Canis lupus familiaris: one gene and its partner. The protein of the gene in region 1 purifies or fractionates together with the protein of each later gene. This does not show direct contact. Links are inferred from orthologs where the notes say so. Each region holds a gene or a part of one and is shown on either strand. Other genes may lie near its edges.

Evidence for each region.
Region 2: the proteins of CDK7 (region 1) and ERCC2 purify together in Homo sapiens (affinity purification with mass spectrometry; 10 studies listed by BioGRID and IntAct, counting the BioPlex papers as one, with this or other methods). This does not show direct contact. The link is inferred for Canis lupus familiaris from reciprocal best matches to the Homo sapiens genes CDK7 and ERCC2.

What each region holds. Positions count from the first base shown.
Region 1 is NC_049223.1:53,558,434-53,567,200, forward strand, and holds part of CDK7 (cyclin-dependent kinase 7), read left to right. Parts: intron 1-285; coding exon 286-353; intron 354-1,705; coding exon 1,706-1,774; intron 1,775-3,968; coding exon 3,969-4,079; intron 4,080-5,108; coding exon 5,109-5,227; intron 5,228-8,241; coding exon 8,242-8,341; intron 8,342-8,767. UniProt on the Homo sapiens protein: Serine/threonine kinase involved in cell cycle control and in RNA polymerase II-mediated RNA transcription. Cyclin-dependent kinases (CDKs) are activated by the binding to a cyclin and mediate the progression through the cell cycle.
Region 2 is NC_049222.1:110,882,577-110,892,062, forward strand, and holds the start of ERCC2 (general transcription and DNA repair factor IIH helicase subunit XPD), read left to right. Parts: upstream 1-3,476; 5' UTR 3,477-3,539; coding exon 3,540-3,544; intron 3,545-3,564; exon of another isoform or gene 3,565-3,583; intron 3,584-3,893; coding exon 3,894-3,993; intron 3,994-5,581; coding exon 5,582-5,659; intron 5,660-5,736; coding exon 5,737-5,799; intron 5,800-5,958; coding exon 5,959-6,072; intron 6,073-7,933; exon of another isoform or gene 7,934-8,180; intron 8,181-9,214; coding exon 9,215-9,331; intron 9,332-9,419; coding exon 9,420-9,486. UniProt on the Homo sapiens protein: ATP-dependent 5'-3' DNA helicase. Component of the general transcription and DNA repair factor IIH (TFIIH) core complex, not absolutely essential for minimal transcription in vitro.

The DNA of each region.
Region 1 (8,767 bases):
GACTTATTCCTTTAATGTTACACACTGACACATTGTTATTCCAGCAGTCTTCTCAAGTGATATGCTACAAAATGAATAATTATCATGGTCATTGTTAAGCTATTTTCAAAATAAAGCAATATAAAAGAAAACCAAATGTCAAACAATTTGTCCAATAGCCTGTATTTTTCTATGGAGTACTCACTGCCATTTCCTGAAAGACTAACTTGTCCCAAAAAATATGCTTGTAAGGAGATTTGAGATTTCAGAATTATTTTTCACATTTTGCTTTGCTTTTTCATCTAGGTATAAACAGAACAGCTTTAAGAGAGATAAAATTATTACAGGAGCTAAGCCATCCAAATATAATTGGTGTGAGTATGATATGAGTTGTTTCTGGGATCTGGGACCCTGCCATTTCTGAATGAGGTAGATATTGATTGAATGCTGAGCAAGATGAATTGTTTTAGGTTAGCCTTGCAAAAAAGCTTTACAGTTTATCAGGATAATATGTATTTTCTATTCTCTTTAGTCCTGTAGGCAGTTGTCTTAAAAGCATTAAATATTAAAACATTTAATATTGGCATATAGCCTAATTATGTCAAAAATCATTTTGAAGCCTAGAGAGCTTTAGCATGTATAAGACCTTGAGTAAGCTTCCCTATAACTCAGTGCCATAATTCTTACCTCATAGGGTTGTGACAAGACTAGTTGATTTTTTTTTTTTAAGATTTTATTTATTTGAGAGAGAGAGACAGAGAGAGAGAGACAGAGACAGACATCACAAGCAGGGAGATAGAGGGAGAAGCAGACTCCCCACTAAGTGGGGAGCCTGATGCAGGACTGGGCCCCAGGATCATGACCTGAGCCAAAGGTGGATACTTAACCAACTGAACCACCCAGGCACCCCAGACTAGTTGATTGAATGCATATAAAGTACCTGGAAATAGAGCCTGACATAGAGAATGCATATATTGAATGATAGCTGCCATTGCTGTTTATAGGATTTTCTTAAAAACTGAGCACAGAATTGAAGATTGAGGTGAGATTTTCAATTATTTGTTTCTTAAACATAGCTCTCAAAATTTGGGGGGCGAGCTTAAGTATTTAGTGACTTTTTAAAAATAGTAAAGTTGAGGCGCGCCTACGTGGCTTAGTCGATTTCGTTTCTGACTTTGGCTTAGGTCATGATCTCCAACTCCCGGGATCTCCTGGGATCAAGCCTGGAGTCTGGCTCTCTGCTCAGCAGGGACTCTGCTTGTCCCTCTGCCTCTGCCCTTCCCCTTGCTGTGCTCTCTGTCTCTTAAATATTCTTCTTCTTTTTTTTTTTTTTTTTTTAAGATTTTATTTATTTATTCATGAGAGACATAGAGAGAGAGGCAGAAACACAGGCAGAGGGAGAAGCAGGTTCCATGCAGGGAGCCCCTTGTGGGACTCATGGAACTTCAGGATCATGCCCTGAGCTGAAGGCAGACACTCAACCGCTGAGCCACCCAGGCGTCCCTCTCTTAAATCTTAAAAAAAAAAAAAAAAAGTTTTACACCTCAAATTACTAATTCCTAGCAAGAAAAAGGATAAATGTCAAATTTAATAAAATCAGATTTAACAGAGTATTATCAGCAGTCTTCATGCTTGTTTAAATTTTTAAAAATTAGTTGGTACAGTATTTTCAAGTACTTTATAGAAAATCACATTATTTATTTATTTTTTGAATTTTGCTTTGCAGCTCCTTGATGCTTTTGGGCATAAATCTAATATTAGCCTTGTCTTTGATTTTATGGAAACTGATCTAGAGGTAAGATTAAGATTCCTAAGAGATTTTTTTTCTCTTTTTATCAAAAGAGAACCTGTTTATTTCCTACTTTCGAAGGTACTGTTATTCAAAGGAATATTTAATTTTTTTGGAATGTGAACGTACTCCTAAGTAAAGGATCTTCTGAATCATTTAGCCGTATTCCCAGTGTTAGATACAGAGATTTGGATTTCAAAACATTTCTATCTACCAAGCTCCCTCTACCTTATTGACATTATTTTTAGAGAAATGAGTATTAGGCCCTTGAGAATTTAGAGTTTCTTTTCCATATTATCACAGAATATCATCCTTTTGACAGCCAAGTTTTTTTTTTGTTTGTTTGTTTTTTTTTGAGAAAATGAGATCTTAGGCTTTTCCTTAATACTAATTAAGGAACCTCGAAAACTAACAACAACTGGAATTCTCATACACCGCTGGTGAGCATGCAGAATCGTACAGCCAGTTTGGAAAATAGTTTGGCAGTTTCTTAAACAGTGAAATACACTGCTAAAGAATGATCTAGCAATATGACTGCTAGGTATTTAAGAGAAATAAAAATATGTCTACCCAGAAATTAATTGGTACACAGATGTTCACTTTTGTTCATTATTGCCCAAACTTGAAACAATCCAAATATCTTTCATCTAGTTAATATAGAAACAAACTGTGGTACATCTTTAAAATGGAATACTGTTTGGGGATAAAAAGAAATAAATTGCTCATATATGTATATAACAGTAGAGAGGAATCTCATTACATAGATTGTGCTAAATGAAAGAACTCAGGCTCAGTCCAGGCTGTGTATTATATGATTCCATTTATATGATGTTCTGGAAAAGGCAAGAACTAAAGAAACAGAAATCAGGTCAGTGGTGGTCAGAGTTGGGAGTAGAGGGAAGTATTGGGCATAGAGGGGCCTGGGGCGATTGGGGTATGGGTGAGAGTTAAAAGAACTCTATCTTGATTATGATAATGGTTACACAACTGGATGTCTTTGTTAAAACTCATGGAACTGTGCACTAGAAAGGGCATATTTTGCCTAAATCTGATTTTTTTTTTTTTTTAAGAAATGGGATTGTTCTCTTAATTTCTCTGTTACTTCATTATTAGTATATGAAAATGCAACAGATTTCTATGTATTGATTTGTGTCCTGCAACGTTACTGAATTCATTTATCAATTCTAGTAGTTTTTTGGTGGAGTCTTTAAGGTTTCTTATGTATAGTATCATGTCATCTGCAAATACCAAAAGTTTACTTCTTGCCAATTTGGATACCTTTTATCTAAATATGATTTCCTTTTTTTTTTTTTTTTTAAGATTTTATTTATTTATTCATGAGAGATGCAGAGACACAAGGCAGAGGGAGAAGCAGGCTTCATGCAGGGAGCCCGATATGGGGCTCAATCCCGGGACTCAAGGATCATGCCCTAGGTCGAAGGCAGGTGTTAAATCACTGAGCCATTCAGACTGCCCCTCTAAATAGGATTTCTAAAAAAAGAAAATGATAACTTCTAGCTAACATATAAGCTTAGGAATAAACTGGCTTTTTTTTTTTTTCAATAAACTGGCTTTAAGCACAGTTCTCAAATAATGCATGAGAACTCAGTTGTGCACTTTAACTCAGCTCTATTTTCTTTGTTATCTTCCTTCATGGGCATAATTTCTCAATATAGTGGCTTATATCCTTAGAGTTTAATAATCTGTAAGGAAAGAAGGTGCTTTGTTCCCCTTGATTCTAGAAGTATTTGGCCTGTTTGATTAGCTTGGATCACATGTCCAACTCTAAAGCAGTCTTCTGGACAGCAGGCTTGAGTATGGTGGTTGGCTATGCCTGGGTCATGTATCTGCCTCTAGAGGCCACAGGTAGTGGTCAGTCCTGTTTTAAACAGGTGGTTTCCCAAAGGAATGTTGAATGCTATTATCAGAAGGGCTGTACATCCTGGGGCAAGCGAAACAACAGATGTTCACCATGTTAATGCCTTTTAAACAATGAAGTAGAAGAGAAAAAGCCCCAGCAGATACTTTCCCTAACTGGAAAATTCCGTTTCTGGAAATTCTGACACTGCTTCCTAAGGAGAGTTAGGCAGTGTTTCTTCAGATTCTCCCGTATGATGGATAAATTCATTATATGTCTGTGTGTGATTCTATATGATGTAATTTAATTGGAATAATTGTATTTTATATACTGGATTTACAGGTTATAATAAAGGATAATAGTCTTGTGCTGACCCCATCACACATCAAAGCCTACATGTTGATGACTCTTCAAGGGTTGGAATATTTACATCAACACTGGATTCTACATAGGGTAAGGTTTTTAACCAATTATGATTGACTTTTTACATTTTAGTCAAGTTTTATGTAACCAGTTATTACATAAATATTTGGTCTAAATACGTATATTATTAAAAATAAAGCCGGACCATTTTATCCCGTCTTCCTCTGGGTGTTCCCTTCAGTTATTCCACCAGGTGGTGCTAATGAGGACTGTAAAATACTATGTAAAATTTAGAAATGCAAGAGGCCCGGTTCTTCATTTTTTTCCATAGATGAATAGCTAATTTGCTGTGTCACCTGACCGAGGTTATAGTTTTTTCAAGGTCAGTAGCTGATAACCAACAGAGTATTAGAATCTAGGTCTTTTGGCTTTAAGTCCAGTATTCTTTATGCTATACTGTTGTGACAGGAAAAAAAAATACAGTGAGAGACTGGGTTAAATTATACATTGCTAAAATATTTTTAGAACAGCAATATTTCAGTAACTCTAAAATTCTGTGAAGTAATGAAATAAAGTTTCTGAAATGATTGAGTCAGTATTAGAAATATTTAGCTATTGAAACAAGGCTGACACTCTCTATAGGTAGATATTTTTAGGTACTCTATTTAGATAAATAGCTAAGAATATATAATTTATAGTCAGTAATTCTCGTACCTTAAACTTGGAATCCCTTTTAGGTTATTGCTAATATCTTTTTAGTATAGATTTTGAGGAATATGTTCCTCATTCTCTCTAAATGCATAATATTTTTATTTACTGAAGTTGCTGTGTATTACTGTTACTAAATTAATAGCAGCAATTATTTATTGAATTCCTCATTGTCATAGTAGGCTCGTTACAAAAAACACTAAATTTAATCCTCACAACAACCCTGTGAAGTAGGTAAATCCAAGGTCTCACTAAGTAATAAAACCAGTCTTTTGCTGTGGTAAGATTTTATATCTGATATGTTTAAATTTGAGGTTTTACCCTGTTTTGTTTTGTCAAGCCAACTAATTGTATTTTTATGGTATTCTCTCCCTCCTGCTTACTTGTTTATTTAAAACCTCCATGATACAGGATCTAAAACCAAACAACTTGTTGCTAGATGAAAATGGTGTTCTAAAACTAGCAGATTTTGGCCTGGCCAAATCATTTGGGAGCCCCAATAGAGCTTATACACATCAGGTTGTAACCAGGTAAGAATCACTTAAAAAACTGAAAGTTTATATTTTGCAGGATTAGTTTTTGTTTTTTTATTATTTTTTATTTTTTATTTTTATTTTTTTTTAGTTTTTGTTTTTTTAAAGTAAGCTTTTTGTAGGCCTAATAACATGGGGCTGAACTCAGGACCCTGAGATCTTGAGTCACATGCTCTACTCACTGAGCCAGCCAGGTGCCCCTATTGTATAGATATGAATCCCAAATGAGCATCGTTTGGCTTCTCTGAAATATCCCAGTAGAGTTAGGAATTGTTGGTGGTGTTTTACTAAAAATATGATTATGTTATGTTTATTTAACCACAATGAAATAATTACAGACATTTTTTCAGATGGAGTTGAACTAACTCAGTTTTCAGGCATTTGTCTAATAACTTTTGGGACTAATTTATACTACTTCTACAGTTTAGTTAGGTAAGTTGGAACTATAGTGGCTATTCTTTTACATATTCACCTGATTTGGGAGACCTGTGTTTATTTTATTGGTCAGTCACTGATTTATTTCATGTTTTATTTCACTCTGTGTGAATGAAAATGGTCTAAATAGAGCAACCCTGTCGGGACCTCTCTCACCCCTGAGAACTTTTTCTGTATTTAATAAAACTGTTACTGCTTTATTAAAAAAAAAAAAAAAGAAGAAGAAAGAAAAGTTTCTGAATAAAGCAGTGCATTGATATTTTGGTTTATCTTATTATTTGTACTTATGTTTTCTTTTATACTTTCTATGTAAAAAATAAAAAAAATCACATGAAATATATATGGACAGTAGGTTTTATAATTCTAGTCAGAATGTTTTTTTTTTTTTTAAGATTTTATTTATTTATTCATGAGAGATACACAGAGAGAGGCAGAGACATAAGCAGAGGGAGAAGCAGGCTCCATGGAGGGAGCCCAAAGAGGGACCCAGTCCCCAGAACCCAGGATCATGCTCTGGGCCAAACACATGTAGGCCTCAACAACTGAGCCACCCAGGCATCCCCAAATGTCATTTATTTATTTCCAAGATTCTTTAAGGATCTGAGAAGATCTTTAAATATTCTGTTCTTTTTAATAACTTTGTCACCTGGGGCACCTAAGTGGCTCAGTCTCAGTTAAGTGTCTGATTCTTGATTTTGGCTCAGGTTGGGAACTTAGGGTTGTGAGATCAAGCCCTGAGCCCTGCTTTGGGCTCTACCCTCAGTGGGTAGACTGCTTGGGAGTCTCTCTCTCCCTCTGCCCTACCCCTTGAGGTTTCCCCTCTCTCTCTCTCTGCCCCTCTCCCTACTTGTGCATGCATGCACGTGTGCGAGCTTGCTGTCTCTCAAAAGTAAATAAGTAAATCTCTCAAAAAAAAAGATAAATAACTTCGCACTTTCAAAATAGATCTCATTGGGTATCAATCACCTGAGCCTTAAGTAAGAAGTAAAGGATATAAGTGGTTATTGATGTACTTGATGGAGAGATACAGCACATTATTTAGGAACTCTTGGAACTGAAGAAAATGGACCCACGTATAAGTATTGTATACCAGTGCTTTATTTTTTTTTTCTTTTTTTAAAAGATTTTATTTATTTATTCATGAGAGAGAACAGAGAGAGAGAGGCAGAGACACAGGCAGAGGGAGAAGCAGGCTCCATGCAGGGAGCCCAATGTGGGATTCGATCTCGGGTCTCCAGGATCATGCCCTGGGCCAAAGGTGCTGCTAAACCGCTAAGCCACCCCGGGATGCCCTACCAGTGTTTTTCATATACCAGTTTCTGGTGTGTGTGTGTGTATGTATATATATGTGTGTGTATATATATATATATATATATGTGTGTGTGTGTGTATTACCAAGTGCTAGTAATAGGTCAAGTTAAAATGAAGACTGAAAATTGTTAAATTATGATTTGGACATCACTAATCACCTTGACAAGAGCAATTTTGGTGGAGTAGTAGGATTAAAGCCTAATTGAAAGTTTTTTTTGTTCTTGTTTAAATTTAATTTTAATTTAAAACATTTTTATCTTAAGTAGACTTGCCACCCAATGTGGGGCTCGAACTCATGACGCCAAGATCAAGAGTCACATGCTCTATCAACTGAGCCAGCCACCCGCTGAAAGAGTTTAAAAAGATAAGAGAATAGTAATTGGAGACAGTAAAAACAAGCAGCTTTTCAGAATAACCAGAGAATGTAGAGATAGCTGCTAGAGGAAGTTGGGCCTAAAGAAGTTTTTGTTTGCTACTTTAATTTTTTGGTTTATTTTTTAAGACTGAAGAAATAATGGTATGTTTGTACGTTAGTGGGAAAAGTCTAGTGAAGAAGAAAACATTGATATTGGAAGAAGAGAATTTCAGTATCTTTGGAAATAGGCAAGAGAGCATGGTACCTAGTGCCCCAAGTTGACATACTGGCATTACAACAGTCCAGGACAGTTCATCTGTAGTTACAGATGAGAAGGCAGATGGTATAAATACAAATGACCATAGGTGAGTCCATGGAATTGTTTTTAATTTTTCTTTCTTTCTATTACTTGGATTCTTTTTAGTAAAGCTGGAAATAAGGTCATTGGCTTAGAGGATGAATGGTGTTGTGAGTTTCTGGAGGAAGTAGGCATTAATCATCAAGGAATGGGAGAGTAAATGGACCAAGGATGTGTTTAATTTCTAGTATGAAATTGCTTGGTTTTATAGCTAGTTTATCTTGAGTTAATCTATCCCTAAAAGTGAAGTTGATCAGTAGGATGATGTTTTGCTTAGGAGTTTTCTACAAGAAACACTTCAATAATTCCATTTTAAAATTACAGTTTTTTGGGGTGCCTAGGTGGCTGAGTCAGTTAAAGCATCTGCCTTTGGCTCAGGTCATGATACCAGGGTCCTGGGTTCAAGTCCCACATTGGACCCATGCTCTGTGGGGAGCCTTCTCCCTCTGCCTGCCACTCCTCCTTGTGTTTTCTCTGTCAAATAAGTAAATAAAATCTTTAAAAAAAAATAAAAGTAAACATAAAATTACAATCTTGCTTTTTGTTCTTCAGATGGTATCGGGCCCCTGAGTTACTCTTTGGAGCTAGAATGTATGGTGTAGGTGTCGACATGTGGGCTGTTGGCTGTATATTAGCAGAGTTGCTTCTAAGGGTAAGTCTAGGATTGATGTATATACTACAATATTGTAATAGGTATTTGTATAACTTGTGTAAGATTATCTTCCCATAGATAATTCTCAGAGAGGAGCACTGGTTTTCCAATAAAAAGCCAACAATAGACCAGTTAAAAAAAAAAAAAAGCTACCTCGGGGCACCTGGGTGGCTCAATTGGTTAAGTATCTGCCTTTGGCTCAGGTCATGATCCCAGGGTCCTGGGATTGAGCCCTGCATTGGGCTCCCTGCTCTGCTCAGCAGAGAGCCTGCTCCTCCCTCATCTGCTCTCCTTGTGTGCGTGCTCTTTCTCTGTTGCTTGTGCGCGCGTGCTCCCTCACTCACTCTGTCAAATAAATTTTAAAAATCTTAAAAAAAAACAAAGCCACCTCCTCCATTGAAACTTTATTGGTTAATGTTAATGTGA
Region 2 (9,486 bases), on another chromosome or scaffold:
AGGGCTTCCTGGAGGAGGGATATCTGAGACCTGGAGGAGGAGGGAGGGCAGGATAAGGTGGGGGAGATGGCACAGGACACCATCAGAGACAAGTAGAAAGCACGAGAGTGAGCAGCAGGATGGGGCTGGTTACTGCATGGGGGGCACAAACAGTGGGAAAGCATTACCATGGTTTACTCCCAATGATCTGAAGTCATGCTGTGCAGGTTCTCTGTTTTATTCTCCTTGGACGTGATACTGCAAGGAGCATCAGTGTATGTGTAGCTTTGGTTCAGGCTCAGGGTCATGTCAACAAGCTCATGAACTGGCTTGACCCCTGTCCCCACCATCAGCACCACTCTGAATCCTACTGGCTCCCTAAGACCTATTTTTAGAGACTTTGTCTAACTTTGGAAGTATGTTATCATTCATATGACTGTATAGCAAATGTCATTTGTTGATATAAGCACCAGTTATTCCCATCCCACGCCTATCCCAGCTCTGCTCACTGTGGGTCATCACCATCGGGTTGGTTCTGTCTCCTCCACTGGGCTATGTGCCCCAGGAGGACAGGGCTGAGGCTGTCTTGGTCACCGCTGGGTGCCTTTTGCCTTCGCAGCTCAGAATGTACACAAAGTAGGGGCTCAGGTAATATAGGATGGGTGAATGAATTAACAAATGAAAGAGCAGATTTTTTTTATTTAAAGATTTTATTTATTTATTCATGAGAAAGAGAGAGAGAGAGAGAGAGAGGCAGAGACATAGGGAGAGGGAGAAGCAGGCTCCATGCAGGGAGCCTGATGTGGGACTCCATCCCAGGACCGCAGGTTCATGACCTGAGCCAAAGACAGATGCTCAACCACTGAGGCACCCAGGAGTCCCAAGAGAAGATTTTGAAGGAAGTCACAACCTTGGGTGGCCCACTCCCTCCTGCCTTGTGTGTCTCTTGCTGAACCCCGTAGTCATGTTAATGAAGCTCCTTCTCTAATCTCAGCTCATCGGAGAATTCAAATTCAAGCCTCATTCTCCTTCTCTGCCCAGACCAGCTCCAGAAACTATCACGGCACAGACATAGACACACAGATACCGGAATAAAACGGGCTCGGAGCAACTCACCTCACCTGAGACTGCTTTTTCATCTGTGAAATGGGGGTAATAAAATCACGTGATTTATAGGACCACCACGAGGATTCAATGACATAATTCTCTCCACTACCCTAGCCTGAGCCACTGACTGGTTCTGTTTGTCAGTCTTACTCCTTCTGGTTCATGTGACACAAGGCACCCCCAGTGACTTATGGGTTCAGAATGCAAATTTGACCATTCCCCCTTCCACCCCCACCTTCCACCCTCGCTTATTTTGCCCTTTCAACAGATATTTGTTGATGCTCCATTGTGTGACAGGCACAGCAGCAAGGACCACAGATGCAGGAGTGAGTAAAATGGACAAAACCCCTGTCCTTATGGAGCTGACCTTCTAAACAAAATAAATAAGTCAGGGGCACCTGGGTGGCTCAGTTGGTTAAGCATCTGCCTTTGGCTCAGGTCATGATCCCAGGGTCCTTCTCCCACTTCTCCCACTTGTATTCTCTGTCAAATGAATAAATAAAATCTTTTTAAAAAGTCAAATATTTGGTATGTCAGATTGTTAGATGGGCTCTGAAGAAAAACAAAGCAGGCAAAGGAACTGCAGTGGGTAGTGTATGAGTCGGTGTGTGTGTGTGTGTGTGTGTGTAGGGGGTTGAATTTAATTTGGTGCCACTAAGGAGGTGACATTGGAGGCAGAACCTGAAGGATATGAGGAGGTCCACCCATGTGGATGTCAGGGGAAAGAGCATTCCAGGCAGATGATGTAGCAGGTGCAAAGGCCTAAAGTAGGATGTGCCTAGAGTGTTCTGGAAACAGCACAGAGGATGATGGGACTGAAATAGAATGAGCTAAGCAAGAGAGGAGGGGATCACAGAGGTAAGGTAGGCTGGTGTGGGGTGAGGAGGGGGTATGCTGGTTAGGATTCTGAAGGTGAATCCTAAGAATCTTTGGATCTTTGGCCTGGCCCTATCGCTCGCTCCCTCCAGCTTCATCCTTCAACTATACAGGCTTCCCTTCAGCGCTTGGACACATCAGCTTTCTTCTGGCGGCAGAGCTTTTGTATACAATGTTCCCTCTGGCTTGCCCTTTCTCACATCTATCTCCTTTGGTTGGTTGGTTCCTTCTCATACTTTCTATGTCTACTCAAGCCTCATTTCCTCAAGGAAGGCTTTTCTGACCACTCCACCCACCCTCCTTTGGTTGACAGCATGTTTCCCATACGTAGCCCTTATGGTTTTCAGAATTTTCCCATCAAAGTACTTGTCATACTTGTAACCATATATTTACCTGTATGTTTAATGTCCGTTCTTTGAGGACATGAGCAGGGGCTGTCTACTGCCTAGCACAGTAGAGATCCCATATCTATTTGATGAACAATCACATAAAAGCTACTAGCTACTGAATGCTGAGGATGCGCTAAACCCAATTTTAACTGTTTTATGAGGGTTAATTTAAGTAAGCATCATCTACATTGTAGGTAATCTTTTTTTTAAAGATTATTTATTTATTTATTTATAGAGACACACACACACACACACAGAGGCAGAGACACAGGCAGAGGGAGAAGCAGGCACCATGCAGGAAGCCTGACGTGGGACTCCATCCTGGGTCTCCAGGATCACACCCTGGGCTGCAGGCGGCGCTAAACCGCTGCGCCACCGGGGCTGCCCCTGTAGGTAATCTTTTAAAAAAATATTTTTTACTTTTTTTTTTGTAACGTAAGGTCTGTGCCCAATGTGGGGCTTAAACTCATGACTCTGAGATCAAAAGTCCCCTACTTTACCGACTAACGCAGCCAGGTGCCCTCATGTTATAGATAATCTATTGTTCCTACTTTGTGGATGACAAGTTAATTTGACCAAGGTCACACAGCTGGTAGACACTGGGGCCAGGATTTGGACCCAGGCATCCTGGTTCCAGAGTCCACACCTTAGCCACCAAGCGACAGTGCCTTTGCATGACTGCCTGATAAGGACAGTGTCTGTCTGGCAAACCATGGGCGTTCACCAAATAGGAGGAGTTATTTATCCCAGAGAAGTCTAGGACACAGCAGGCATTTTACAGGTGCACGTTAGTCTGGTGCGATGAAGCCATTCCTAACTCGTGGGTTCCGTAAATGTCCTCAATTTCCTTGTCGGTTCTTTTAGAGGATCCGCTGCCAGGTGATCTGGGCAGACGCCAGAAGACCAAATCCTAATGAATGGGATCGATGATCTCGGTTCTCTTCCTTCAAGTGTTGCTCTGGGTACTCTGCGATCCTCAGCGACGCCTCCGCACCTCTTCTCCCGGGAGCCCGCCCCCGCATTGCTGTGCGCATGCGCATCAGCCGGCCCCAGTAGAGTGACAGGCAGGATCAGCCAATGGAGTCGTGAGAAAGGTGGAGCGGCACCTCGAGGACGCCCCACGGGTCCTGCTTTCTGAATATTTATGAGGGAGGCGGGTCGACGCCGCTTCTCGCAGCGCCCGGCGCCATGAAGTGAGGGGGGTCTGGGGTTCGCCCCTCGCGAGCCGGCTGGTGGGGGTCGGGCGGGGGGCAGGCTAAGAAGTTGGGGAGGCCCAGGCGGCGCTGCCGGGGTCCCGGCGGGGCGAGGGGGTGCTGGGGGAGTGGGGTGGGGATCGCCGCGGGGACCCGCGGGGCGGTAACGGGGACGGTCAGCGAGGTGATGCCGGAGGGACCCGAGGCTCCTAGGAAACTGGGGGGCGCCCGGGTGGTGGTGGGGGGGCCGGCGCCCGCAGGTGACCCCTCCGGGCCCCACGGCAGGGGAGCGTGGCGGCTGGGGAGGGGCTGCGGGACGGGGCACTGACCCGGCCGCCCCCGCCGCCAGGCTCAACGTGGACGGGCTGCTGGTCTACTTCCCTTACGACTACATCTACCCGGAGCAGTTCTCCTACATGCTGGAGCTCAAGCGCACGCTGGACGCCAAGGTGGGGGCCCGGCCCGCTCCCAGACCTCCGGTTACCTAAAAGGATAGTTCGTGATAGCAGCACCTGACGTTTATCAAAGGCTGCGCGCCTGGGAGCCGGCTGTCTGGGTTGGAATCCTCGACCCACAGCTGTGTGCCCTTGGGTGAAGCCCTTCGTCTCCCTGTTTCACAGTTTTCACCTCTGTAAAACGGGCTTAGTATGATTGCCTACTCTCGGAGGTTACGGGGAAGGTTATGTGGGTTAATTTCAGTAACTTAACCCGGGATGATTTTGACACCCCCCCCCCCCCCCCCCCCCCGCCGCAGAGACCGTGCCTTGGTTGTCATATTATTGGAGTGGAATGCTAGTGGCATCCCGTAGTTAGAGACCATGGACACTGCTAAACATCCTGCAGTGCGCAGTTCAGCCCCCCACAACCGGGTATTATCTGGCCCCCAAAGGTAGAGCCTAGGTTAAGAAAACTGGATGGAATCTTAGAAGTGGTGCCAGGCACAGAGTAAGTGCTGTAACTTATTTGCTAAGTTAAAGAAAAAAAATGGATTGCTACAAATCAGTTATTTTGCCAAATATTCAACCCTCAGTTTCTCATTAGTCCTTAGTCATGATCTGAAGAAGTACTTATGAGCCCAGTTTTATTTATTTTTTTAGTTTTAACTTTTTAAAAAAAAAAAGATTTTATTTAATCATGAGAGACAGAGATCTCAGAGAGAGGCACAGGCAGAGGGAGAAGCAGGCTCCATGCAGGGAACCTGATGTGGGACTGGATCCTGGGTCTCCAGTGTCATGCCCTGGGCTGAAGGTGGCGCTAAACCGCTGAGCCACCAGGGCTGCCCTAAAATGTTTTCTTTTTTTTTTTTTTTTTAATATTTTAATTATTTGAGAGAGAGAGAGGAGAGAGCACACACCCAAGCACGGGGGAGGGCAGAGGGAGAGGGAGAAGTAGGCTCCGCACTGAGCAGGGATGAGGGGCTGTATCCCAGGACCCTGGGATCTTGACCTGAGCTGAAGTCAGATGCTTAACTGACTTAGCAACCCAGGTGCCCCTAAAGTTTTTTTTTTTTATTTTTTTTTTATTTTTAAAGACAATTATTATTATTATTTTTTTTACGATTTTATTTATTTATTCATAGAGACCTAGAGAGAAAGAGAGAGAAAGGCAGAGGGAGAAGCAGGCCTCATGCAGGGAGCCCGACGCGGGACTCGATCCCGGGTCTCCAGGATCACACCCCGGGCTTCAGGCGGCGCCAAACTGCTGCGCCACCGGGGCTGCCCTAAAGTTTGTTTTTAAAGTAATCTCTACACCTGACATGGGGCTTGAACTTGAAAACCTGAGATCAAGAGTCACATGCTCTTCCGATTGAGCCAGCTAGGAATCCCTTGGCCCATTTTAGAGGTGAGGTGAGGCCAGATAGGTGAAGGTACTTGCCTAAGACCACTCAACAATGAGGTGGCAAAAGTGGGGTTCAAACCCATTGCCCCTGGGGCCTAGCTTTTTACCTGCTGTTGTCTCTATATTTCAAGATGGTGGCATTCTGGGAGTGGTCCCCAGAGTTTGTATCCCTGAAGATCTGTCTCTCTCAACACTTAGGGTCATGGAGTCCTGGAGATGCCCTCAGGCACTGGGAAGACAGTGTCCCTGTTGGCACTGATCATGGCATACCAGAGGGTAAGTGCCCCCTGGGCCCAGGGAGGGAAGCAGAGTAAAGGGGTCCCAACAGGGGCTGAGCTCATTGTCACTGGCAGGCATATCCACTGGAAGTGACTAAACTCATCTACTGCTCAAGAACTGTGCCTGAGATTGAGAAGGTGAGCCAGGGCCATCCTGGGGCTCCGCCACTCCCACAGGACTTGCTGGACCCCGGGTGGTTGCCCTCATAGCTTTCAGGGGGTGTTGGGAAAGCTGGGGAAGGACCAGGCTGGGCAGGGTCTTATGCTGGAGTCCCCCTCCATCCTTGACTGGAACAGGTCATTGAAGAGCTGCGAAAGTTGCTCAACTTCTATGAGAAGCAGGAGGGTGAGAAGCTGCCATTTTTGGGGCTTGCTCTGAGCTCCCGGAAGAACCTGTGTATTCATCCTGAGGTGCGTGCCCATTTCTCCCCTTGCCCTAAGCCTCCATCCAACCAGAGTCCTAAATCCCCAAGACCAGATCTCTCAGACAGTCACAGACTTCTCACACATCAAATTCTGACTCCTGATGAGGTGGCCCAAACAAACACACCTTTTCCCCAGCCTTAGAGAAGTTAAAAAGGCAGTTCCTGGAGTCTTGCACTCCAGCTTGTTTGGCTTTGAAACTTAATAGTTGTGTATTCTTAGGTGATTTTTATAGTGGAGCTTCAGTCTTCCTGTCTGTAATATGGGGATAATTACCTGCTTTATACAGTTGATAAGACTGGACAAGAGGAGAGAGGGTGAGATGGGCAAAGGGGGTCAAAATGTACAAACTTCCAGTTATAAAACAAATTGGTATGGGATGTATTGTACAGCATGGTGACTATAGTTAATACTCTATTGTATATCTGAAAGTCACTAAAAAAGTAGGTCTTAAAAATTCTCATCATACGCAGATGGCTGTATGGCTCAGTAAGTTAATCATCTGGCTTTTTTTTTTTTTTTTTTAAAGATTTTTATTTATTTATTCATGAGAGACACACACAGAGAGAGAGGCAGAGACACAGACAGAGGGAGAAGCAGGCTCCATGCAGGGAGCCCAATGCAGGACTCGATCCCGGGTCTCCAGGATCATGCCCTGGGCTGAAGGCAGGCGCTAAACCACTGAGCCACCCACGGATCCCCTGGCTTTTTTTTTTTTTTTAAGATTTTATTTATTTATTCATAAGAGACACACAGAGAGGCAGAAACAGGCAGAGGGAGAAGCAGGCTCCATGCAGGAAACCCGATATAGGACTTGATCCCAGGACCCGGGGATCACTCTTGATTTCAGCTCGGGTCATGATCTCAGGGGTCTTGGGATTGAGCCCCACATTGGGCTCTATGCTCAGTAGGGAGTCTGCTTCAGGATTCCCTCTCTTCTCTGCCCTCTTTCCTACTCGTGTTCTCTGTCTCTGTCTTCATCTCTCTCTCTAAAAATAATTTAAAAAGTAAAAAGAGTTCTCATCGTAAGAAATTGTGGGGTGCCTGGCAGGTTCATTTGGTAGAGCATGCGATGCTTCATTTCCAGATCATGAGTTTAAGCCCCGTGTTGGGTGTAGAGCTTACTTCAAAAAAGAAAAAAAGAGGAAAAAAATTGTAACTCTGTGGTGATGGATACTAACTAGCCTTAACTGTGGTGGTCATTTTGCAATATTTGTGAGTACTGAATCATTATGTTGTACATCTGCAAGTAATACAGTGTTTTTTTTTTTTTTTTTTTAGATTTTATTTATTTATTCATGATAGTCACAGAGAGACAGAGAGGCAAAGACACAGGCAGAGGGAGAAGCAGGCTCCATGCAGGGAGCCCGACGTGGGATTCGATCCTGGGTCTCCAGGATCGCGCCCCGGGCCAAAGGCAGGCGCCAAACCGCTGCGCCACCCAGGGATCCCAATACAGTGTTTCATATCCATTTATATCTTGATAAGTAAAAAGATTGGGTGAGAAAATGCATGTATAGCCCTAAGCATGTACAAAATAGTAAAACAACATTAGAAATTATCGTGATACTAATATATATAATAACATATGACACATAGAATATTGGTATTAAATTATGTTACAAAACTACGGTAACTCACGGAAGATATATTCTATAACATGAATTGTAAGAATATGAGAAACGGTGGATGTGATGGGTGATAATTATAGTAGCACAGGCCTTGGCAGGTGATGAAAAGAGAAGGGAGAGGGAGGGTCAGCAGCCTCAGAGCCTGCCCCTTGGTGAAGGCAAAGGTTTTGTTGTGAGAAAGGACAGTCCTGGGCTGTGAGAGTGTCACCCATAGAACCTCGGAGGGGGCAGGGCAGGGCAAGGGCTCTCAAACCATTCCATAGAACCTCCTCTGATTCTTAGATTTGCCAAGGTTCTGGGTGTTTTGGCGTTTAGAAGGATGAAGCAGTTATCCTTAATCTACATGCTAAACATTCTTTAAGGCTTGATTTTTTTTTTTTTAATCCGGTAAAATTGACATATAATGTTAGTTTCAGGTGTATAGTGTAATGATTCGGTATTTGTATATATTGCAAAACGATCACGGTAAGTCTAGTTAATATCTGTCACTTAACATAGTTACAAAAATTGTTTTTCTTATAAGGAGAACTTTTTTTTTTTTTAAATTTTTTTTTTAAATTTTTTTTTATTTATTTATGATAGGCACACAGTGAGAGAGAGAGAGGCAGAGACACAGGCAGAGGGAGAAGCAGGCTCCATGCACCGGGAGCCCGATGTGGGATTCGATCCCGGGTCTCCAGGATCGCGCCCTGGGCCAAAGGCAGGCGCCAAACCGCTGCACCACCCAGGGATCCCTATAAGGAGAACTTTTAAGATCTCCCTTAGGAACTTACAAATGTGCATTGTGGTATTATGAACTATAGCTCCCATGCTGTTTGTTGCATTACATCCCTAGGACTTAATTATTTTATAACTGGAAGTTTGTACTTTTTGATCCCCTTCACCCTTACCCCCTGACCTCTGACAACCACCAATTTGTTTTCTGTATTATTTTTTTTAAGATTTTATTTATTTTTTTCTTTTTTTTTTTATTATTTTTTTTTTGTGGAGGGCCAGGTGCGCCTGTGCAGCTGGAGCCCCCCCAAGATTTTATTTTATTTTTTAATTTTTATATTTTATTCTTTATTTATTCATGAGAGAGCGAGAGAGGCAGAGACACAGGCACAGGAAGAAGCAGGCTCCATGCAGGGAGCCTGATGTGAGACTCGATCCCAGGTCTCCAGGATCCTACGCTGGGCTGAAGGCGTTAAACTGCTAAGCCACCCAGGCCGCCTTAAGATTTCATTTTTTAGTAATTTCTGCACCCAACATGGGGCTCGAACTCACAACTCCAAGATCAGTGTAAGAGTCCAACACTGCTCTTACACTCCCGGGGTCTAAGTTCCCAAATGTCTTAACTGTTTAATAATGTAACAAGTTGAGGTTTCAGTTTCCCCCAAAATTCCTCATTCTTACCCCAGACGGAACAGGACAGCCCCCCTCTTCCATCTAGCTGGCAGGTATAGAAACCCAGGTTCAAGGAATGGTTCTTATGACCCCCCCAATCCTCGTCCCCCCAGGTGATGCCCTTGCGCTTTGGGAAAGATGTCGACGGGAAATGCCACAGCCTCACAGCCTCGTACGTGCGGGCGCAGTACCAGCAGGACTCCAGCTTGCCCCACTGCCGCTTCTACGAGGTGCCTGCCGACTGTGTTCAGGGAGGGAAGGGCAAGACGGTGGCAACGGCATACCTCCCTGACCCCCAGGTACCCTCTTGCCCCCCAGGAATTTGATGTCCATGGGCGCCAGGTGCCCCTCCCTGCTGGGATCTACAACCTGGATGACCTGAAGG